Cricetulus griseus: one gene and its partner. The protein of the gene in region 1 interacts with the protein of each later gene in a biochemical or structural test. Links are inferred from orthologs where the notes say so. Each region holds a gene or a part of one and is shown on either strand. Other genes may lie near its edges.

Evidence for each region.
Region 2: the proteins of Ppp2r1b (region 1) and Ppp2r2a form a complex in vitro, tested with the Homo sapiens proteins (2 studies listed by BioGRID). The link is inferred for Cricetulus griseus from reciprocal best matches to the Homo sapiens genes PPP2R1B and PPP2R2A.

The regions. Positions count from the first base shown.
Region 1 is NC_048597.1:162,635,044-162,638,856, forward strand, and holds part of Ppp2r1b (serine/threonine-protein phosphatase 2A 65 kDa regulatory subunit A beta isoform), read left to right. Parts: intron 1-3,270; coding exon 3,271-3,426; intron 3,427-3,723; coding exon 3,724-3,813. UniProt on the Homo sapiens protein: The PR65 subunit of protein phosphatase 2A serves as a scaffolding molecule to coordinate the assembly of the catalytic subunit and a variable regulatory B subunit.
Region 2 is NW_023276807.1:222,051,115-222,055,491, forward strand, and holds the start of Ppp2r2a (serine/threonine-protein phosphatase 2A 55 kDa regulatory subunit B alpha isoform), read right to left. Parts: upstream 2,808-4,377; 5' UTR 2,505-2,807; coding exon 2,498-2,504; intron 780-2,497; coding exon 705-779; intron 1-704. UniProt on the Homo sapiens protein: Substrate-recognition subunit of protein phosphatase 2A (PP2A) that plays a key role in cell cycle by controlling mitosis entry and exit. Involved in chromosome clustering during late mitosis by mediating dephosphorylation of MKI67.

The DNA of each region.
Region 1 (3,813 bases):
GGGTCTTGGTTTCTTTGGTGTAGAAACGATAAAAATCAGCAACCCCTAAATTACTTAATACAGTTGTTTTCAGTTTGGATGGTGGAGATGGTTGCAGGGTCATCTGGATCTCAGTTTCCATATATAAAATGGTGTGGTATTTGCCACTGCTTGTATACATCCTCTTGTGTACTTACTCTAAGTCACCTTCAGGCTACTTGGCAATACCTAATCAACATAAAGTAGGGCTGGAGAGATGCTTGCCCAAGCCTGGGGACCTGTGTCTGGTTCCCAGAACCCATACAAAGCTGGACATGGTGGCATGCATCTGCAATCCCAGAACTCCTATGGTGAGGTGGGAGGCAGAGAACAGGAGGATCACCCTGAAAATCATGGGCCAGCCAGTCTGGGGTGCACAGTGCAGCTCAGCAAGGTGGAAGGCAAGAACCAAATCCTGAAAGTTGCCCTCTGACCTCCACATATGTGCTGTGGTGTGTGTGTACCTACACACTCTCACAAACAATAAATAAAAAATCCACAGTGTAAATGATCTGTAAATAGTTGTTATACTACTTACTTGAGGGAATGATGACGGGAAAACAGTCTGTATATATTTACTACAGACAAAGAAAATTTCCCAAATATTTTGATCCTTGGTTGGCTGACTCCATTGATGTGGGGAAACCATGGACACAGACTGACTGTTATCTACCAGCCTGTTTTAAGTAGCTGCATGTATTATGGAATTAGGTTCTCCTAACAGCCCATGGCATAGATACTCAAGGAAATGGAGGTCCAGCTAGTTTATGAAGCTTGTTCAAGGCTGTATTTAGCTAATTGTGGTGCAGTTGGGGTTTGAATGTATGTGGGCTTCAGCTCCAAATTTCTAAGTCTTATAATTTGAACACTGGCAACATTTCAAGCATGCAGATGCCACACATACATGGTGGTTTCCATGTTGGAGCAGGGCAAGCTTAGCATCCTTATTTGGAATTTAGCTGGTTATACTTCCCATGGCATAATTTGATATTTTCTTTTATCTTCTATACTTCCTGCAAAGTAGTAGACTAGGGGTTTGCAGATTTTCTGGTGAAGGACAGCCAGGAAATATTTTCAGTTCTGTGGATCATATATCCCTGTTGTAATTGTTGTGGCTGAAGCAGCCACAGAGTATGGAAACCAATGGACATGAAACTCACCAATTTATAGGTGGGGCAGGCTGTTAGCATTTGTTCCTCCAAAAAATATTGAATGCTTTGTTAGGAAATATGTATACACTATGCCTTCTGTGACAACTGGTAGATCCGCTCATGGCTTACTCATTAACAGAAACATTTATTGAGTGGCTACATAGAGTACCTACATATGTGAGGCACAGTTCTAGTGTTAAGGACATACAGGGACCCTGCTTTCATGGAACTTGCATTTTAATGAAGAAAAATGAACATGATAAAAATCAGTCGTAAATGTCATGGAAATAGTGTAACAGAACACTGACCGTCAGTCAGCAGAATGCTCTGAAGAAGTGACAGCTGAGAGAAAATGCCGTCTCCGCTCCTTCGAGGAGCGTAAGAGCCCTGTAAAGAGAGGGCATGAAATAGGAAAACACCAGCATTGGAGCATGGTGGTTGGATGAGTCCAGTAAGCGGGAGAGTGGAGAAGGGAGCGGTGGGAGCATCGGTAGCCCACAGCAGACTCCAGTTTTGGAGTTTTTTTCTTTAGACGCAGTGAGACTCTACCTATATCTGGGGAAGAGGTGTGCCGTGTAGTATACATTTTTGAAAGGTCATTCTGGCTTGTGGGTGGAAACAAAGTTGTAGGAAGTATAAAAATAGAAAGAGAAGGCCAGTTAGGTGATATTGATAAACCAGGCAAGAGATGAGGGTGCTTGTGTGCTATGTTGGATTTGTGTGTGTGCTTGCGTCAACACACACACTCACATGCACTCTATTGTATTTGTGTGTGTGTGTGTGTGTGTGTGTGTGTGTGTGTGTGTGTGTGTGTGTTCTGTTGTATTACGTATGCGGTGAATTTCTTGCTCCATTTCTCTTGGGTATTCATAGGGTTTTATTTTTGATCTTCCCAGATCAAAGTCCGAAGTCATAACTCCTGATGTCAAATTGAGTCTTAATTCTGTGTTTTCTCTTACTCAGAAGACATTCTTGTGTACCATTTGGCATTGAGCAACTCTATATATGGAAAAGCAGGTTGTCAACTTGCCTTTCCAGTTTTCCTCTGCTGTTTTACTAGACATGGTTATCTCTCTTTGAGTTTCAGCATTTCAGTTTGACTCTGTTATTTGGCTATTAACTTTTCACTCTTTTTGTGTCTTCCTTTGTACATTCCGTCTCATGCTACTGTTATGGCCAATGAGTAGTTGGAAGTAGCTTTCAAAGTGATCTTCCTTGTCCTTTAAACTCTTAAGTACATTATTAATTAACTTCTTGTAATAAGGCTTTGAATATAGCATTAAATTAAAAATCAATCTTTATATTTTGTGGCCACTCAGATGTCCTAGTGGTAAAGCGTTTTTGCCTGATGTCAGTGCTCAGAACCACGGGAAGGTGGCAGATCTGCCTCCAGGAGGTTGTCCTCTGACTTCACACACATTCACTTGCAATAAGTAAGATTTTAGCAAGTCCTTTTCATTTTATTTAATAAAAACCTGGCTGCAGTTAAGATAATTTGAACCAAGTGCCACTTTTATGTCTTTCACATGCAGTCTTTCACATGCAAAGGAAGAAGTTACATATTTGGAAGTTGTCTTAGTTGGGGTTTCTGTTGCTGTGATGAAACACCATAACCAAAAAAGCAAGTTGGGGAGGAAAGGGTTTATTAACCTTCCCTTCTCAATTGTAGTCCATCACTGAAGGAAGCCAGAACAGGAACTCAAACAGGGAAAGAACCTGGAGGTAGGAACTGGTGCAGAGGCCACAGAGGGGTGCTGCTTAATGGCTTGCACCCCACATGGCTCGCTCAACCTGTTTTCTTATAGAACCCAAGACCACCAGCCCAGGATGGCACCATCCACAATGGGCTGGGTCCTCCCCATAAATCATTAGTTAAGAAAGCGACCTTCAGGCTTGCCTCAGCTGGATCTTATGGAGGCATCTTCTCAGTTGAGGTTCCCTCTTCTCATATGACTCTAGCTTATATCAAGTTGACATAAATTAGCCAGCACAGTAGTTTTTCTCTCCCTCTTTCTTAAACAGTACCTGTGAGAGCATGGCCTCACTACACGAAGTGCGCCCTGTTTGACCAAACTGACCAAATGTAATGTTTTTCCTTTAGGATTCTGTGCGCCTGCTAGCCGTGGAAGCTTGTGTCAGTATTGCCCAGTTACTGTCCCAGGATGACCTTGAGGCCTTGGTAATGCCTACACTTCGGCAAGCAGCAGAAGATAAATCTTGGCGGGTTCGCTATATGGTAGCTGACAAATTTTCAGAGGTAAAATGCATTGGCATTTCTGGTATTGAAAACCTCAAAGGCATTTGCCCTGCAGATTTTCTATTAGATACAGCTTACACATTCTATTGAATAGCTTTGAATATAGAATCAAAATTAAAAAAGAAGACAATTAATCTTTCTATTTTGGGGTTAGTGAGATGGCTTGGTGGGTAAAGTGTTTGCCATTCATGCCTGCCAGCCTGTTGTGGTTATAGCATACATTTGAAGATTGTATTAGTTTGTTGTTATTAACTGTTTTTGTTAGTGTACATTAAACCTGTATAAATTGTTTTTTAGCTCCAGAAAGCGGTGGGCCCTAAAATCACACTCAATGACCTCATCCCCGCCTTCCAGAGCCTCCTTAAGGACTGTGAAGCTGAGGTCCGA
Region 2 (4,377 bases), on another chromosome or scaffold:
ACACACACACACACACACCCCAATCCCACAAACCTGCAGTATTTCTGAACAAAGAAATAATGTAACCATCCTTTTGGAGATTATCTGTCTCTAACAAAAAAGATTGTCTCAGAATGAGTACAAGGCCTTCACATTCCAAAACTTCAGAGAAGTTCTAAAATAAATTAGCAAGGTTCTATCTCAAAAAGTCCCCTAGAAAAGTGATTTATTATTATATCTTAACTGCACATATGAATCCCTGAAAGATAATATAAAGTGAATAATTTGAGCCAGCATTTTTTCAGCAAACATGTTAACCAATACTACAGTCACAAAGTAGTTAAGTTCAAAAGAACTTAAGTCTCCTCATAGAATAAAAGATTTCTGAGCTAAGTGTTCTTGGCATCTATTCCTGCTTAATTATCTAAAGACAAAACACAAACATCCAAGTCCAGTTATTTGCATGTAGAATGTATGTAACAAGGAAACCTCAATTACAGGAACCTCAGAGCACTTACTGCTCACCATTTACTTCATTAACTCAATGAAAAAATAAAACAAGACAGAAAAAGAGATGTAAAGACTTTTTCAGAAAGATGATTTTTAAAACTATTGTCCCACCTCTTGGACAACACAAAACATTCTTCAAGGCTCAGTTTAGTTCGTGTTCCTTCAGTACACAGAACTTAAGTCAACACTCAGTTGTCATGGTTAAACTTTCTTACCTTCTGCTACATCATCATCTACTGCTCCTTTCACCTGAGAAAAACACCATTGAATATCATTCCCTCCTCCAGCTCCTAGAAGAAGAAAACATAGCAATTAAAACGGAGTTCTGTTCTGTTTACTCTCATAAACACGGAGATGGTATCTGAGACTAGCATGATACTACCCACATACACAGTCACCACTGAGCCCACGAATTTGGAACCAAATAAGTTCTGACAGCTGGTAGAGCATTCAAAACAAGACTGCAGGTATGAAATATTCAAAGGCATACAGTCTATCAATCATTATCATCGTAAAGATATTCAAAACCTCATTTCCACTTTCCCTGCCCCTTGAAGACAAAGCCTTTCACGTAAGACCTACCAGAAACCAAAGTAAATACCCAAAGTTAGTTTTCCTTTAAATGTGCAAAGGGCTAAACTACCATGAAATATAGAACGAAGAGAAAACTTCGGGAACATTACTTCCTGAGAGGAGGAGTGATTCATGTGAGCCCTACCACCGAAGCATGGACACAGCAAACACAACACCCATTTCTTTGCATTCATTAGGCGCAAATCACTGGCTGCAGACACAGGAAAAGGGGTGGCAATGAATGCCTGGTCAAAGGATGGTCAAAGGATGCTGACTCTGCCTCCTTTCACCTAACCAGAGAACCCAAAGGGCCCAGAAAGAGCAACTTTGCTAATATGTCATCTCCTACAAAACAGTTCCAATTATCATTTCATTGTTCGGCAAGGTCAAAGGGCAGTTTGTTTGTATAGTAAATGGTAAATCAGCCCAACATAACTTCTTTAGAAGTCCTATTATCTATGCAAATATGGAAAAGACAAGGAAAACTGGTTTAATCTCAGACACTGCCCGGGACTGAAAAGGAAATTGGGGGGGGGGGGTGGCACGACACTCCTGGATTTCTGGGAAAGAAACTGAATCTCAATCTAGAATTACTCTACTAGCAGAAGGGCTTCAAGATCAAAATGTACAAAGATAACCGACTCTCAAAGGCTATTAACCCTCGCTTTTCCTTTACCTGTTCCTTGCTAAATTATTCTCAATCAGGGTTTCTCCGTGCTTTTCCCCCACTGCAAGCTTTTATGAAATCTCTCTCTCCTCTTTCTCTCTCTATTTATATCACTGAACTCCACAACTATTTTAACTCCGAGAAACCCTTCTGGGAAAAGGACATCTGCACGAACGATAGCGTGCAAAATGCAAAGTTTAAATTACCTGTTTCTCCCCACCTCCCACCCCAACCCTTAACAACTTCTATTAAAGGCCTAGCACTCGTGGTGACAACGACTAAGTCATGGGAGGGAGCACAGTCGCCACGAAATTCAGGCTTACACCCTCAAAATCTGACCTAGCCATAACGTGTGTGTGTGGGGGGGGGGGACATATGCCTCCATTGTATTTTAACTTGCAAAGCGCTCTTCCTTATCCGTGCAGGATATGTTTCTGCAGGAAGGCTCGCAGCAGACGAGGAAGAGTGGAATGACTATGTGCGGAGGAGCGGAGGGAGCAGGGTGCAGAGGGGACCCATCTGCACGCCGGCACCCGCCCCACCCACGCAGGCCCCCACCCCCACCGCACCCGTGCCCGAGCCCGTGCCAGGCCCAGGGCCCTGCCTGCAGGCCCCACCATCCCAGCCCAGTGCCAGGCCCGCCCGCCCGCCCCGCACTCGGCCAGCGCCCCAGGCCAAGGCCCCTCCGCCACGGTCGCTAGGGGGTGACGGAGAGCGCGCAGAGGAAGCGGCACCCTGTCAGCCGGCCGAGGGCCGTTTCTCCTTTACCTGCCATGTCGTGCAGCAAATGATGACCCTGCCGGGCTCCTCGGGGTCTCCGCGACCGGGGCTCAGCCCCCTCACCTGGGGATGGGGGGATCGAGGGCGCGGATGGAGGCGGATGGCACCTGAAGGGGGAGGGGACGGGAATCGGGGCGGAAGGGAAGCGGCTCAGGCGGAGCGGCCGGCAGGATAGAAGCTTTCACTCGGGGGCGTCCCCTCTCGTGATCCTTCTCCCCGGTGGGCAGCGGCGCGGCGGCGGCGGCGGCGGCGGCGGCGGCTACGACAGCGACGGCGGCCCGGCGGCAGGGGCAGGCGACTCCACTTTCAAAATGGCGCCCGCTGGCTGGCCGGTGACGTCACTCCAGGGGGCGGAGCGCCTTTGGGGTGGGTCGCGCTGTGTTGGTCACGCCTCCTTCCTGCCCGGCTCTCGCTCCGCCCCGCCCGCTGTGACCCTGCTCTGAGCTCTGCACCGAACTGGGGCAGTGGTTAGTTGCTCTGGCTGTGGACTATGCCAAGTTGGCCCACAGTGCCCAAGTGGGCCGGCAGCTTGGCCTGTCTGCACCTCACACTGTCCCAAAGCCTTGCACCAGGGCCGGGACTCCAGGATGGTCTCATCTGTCTACTTCTCACCCACAGGGTGAGCTGGCTCTCCCTGGAGAAGACCCTTTAGATGCTCCAGCGACACTGGGTGAGCCCCAGGGACACCAAAATAAAGGGACAGTGATGCATACTCGTTGCCTGTCCAAGGTGAGAGTTCACAGAGCCCAGAAAGACACAACTGGGCTGGTTCCATCTGGGTGAAGTAGGTTACCTTCCCATGGATGAGAGTTCTTGGCTACCGCAAACAGTTAAGAATGGCTCCCGACAGAAAGTTAAATGTGTTGTGAATGGCACAAAAAAAAAGTGACTCAGGTCTGTTCAGATAAAAGTGGTAAAATCAATGATTGAGAATCTATATTCTGCTGGCTGTGGTGACACATGCCTACAATCTCAGCAGCACTTTGTGAGGTGAATGTAAGAGGCTCCAAATTTTAAGGATACCTGAACTATATAATGAGTTTGAGGCTAGCCTGGGCTACCTATATGAGACCCTGTCTCACATACACACATCAAACAAAAAAGGAGAAGAAACTAAATCTATTTAAATGTAGCCTCTTCCAGTCAGACTTTTCTGACAGTTTCTTCCATTTCCGGCTCACCTTTAGCTAGGTTGGGTGCCCTTGTTTAATAGTGTCAAGGTAGTAGTGGTGATGCAGTCCTTTAATCACAGTACTCAAGAGGCAGAGGCAGCTGAATCCCTGTCTGAGGCCAGCCTGATCTACAGAGCTAGTTCCAGGACAGCCAAGGCTACACAGAGAAACCTTCTCTTGGGGGGTGCGGGTGGGGGTAGGAGAGATACTCTCAGGTCCAAAGGAAACTCCAAGTCTCCAAACTCCAAAAGGCAGTCCAAATATCCAGAAATGAGCTCAACCTGGACAATAGGAGGATTTCTAGCAGTTAGATAAAAGCTAGCATTCCTCAGGAACTTGTGAAGGTATTTCCCCTCTACCAAAAAAAAAAAAAAAAAAAAAAAAAAAAAAAAGAAAAAAGAAAAAAAAAAGAAAAGAAAAGAAAAGGTCATTTCCCTCATCTCTGGCAGAAAGGACATATGGCTACCTGTGGTGCCTATCAGCACATCAAAGCACATTCTGGTATCACTAGTACCTGTTACCCAATTTCAAAGTCCATGCTAGCATCCCAGCCCGTCTCACCTCCTCTCCTACTCTAAACTCCCTCCAGCTCTCAGGTTTTCCTCACCCAGATTCTCATTCTCCTTCTAACCCTGCTATTCTCACTATATACTCTATCCCCTGCTATTCTCCCCTCTCTGGCCATGTCAGTCTACT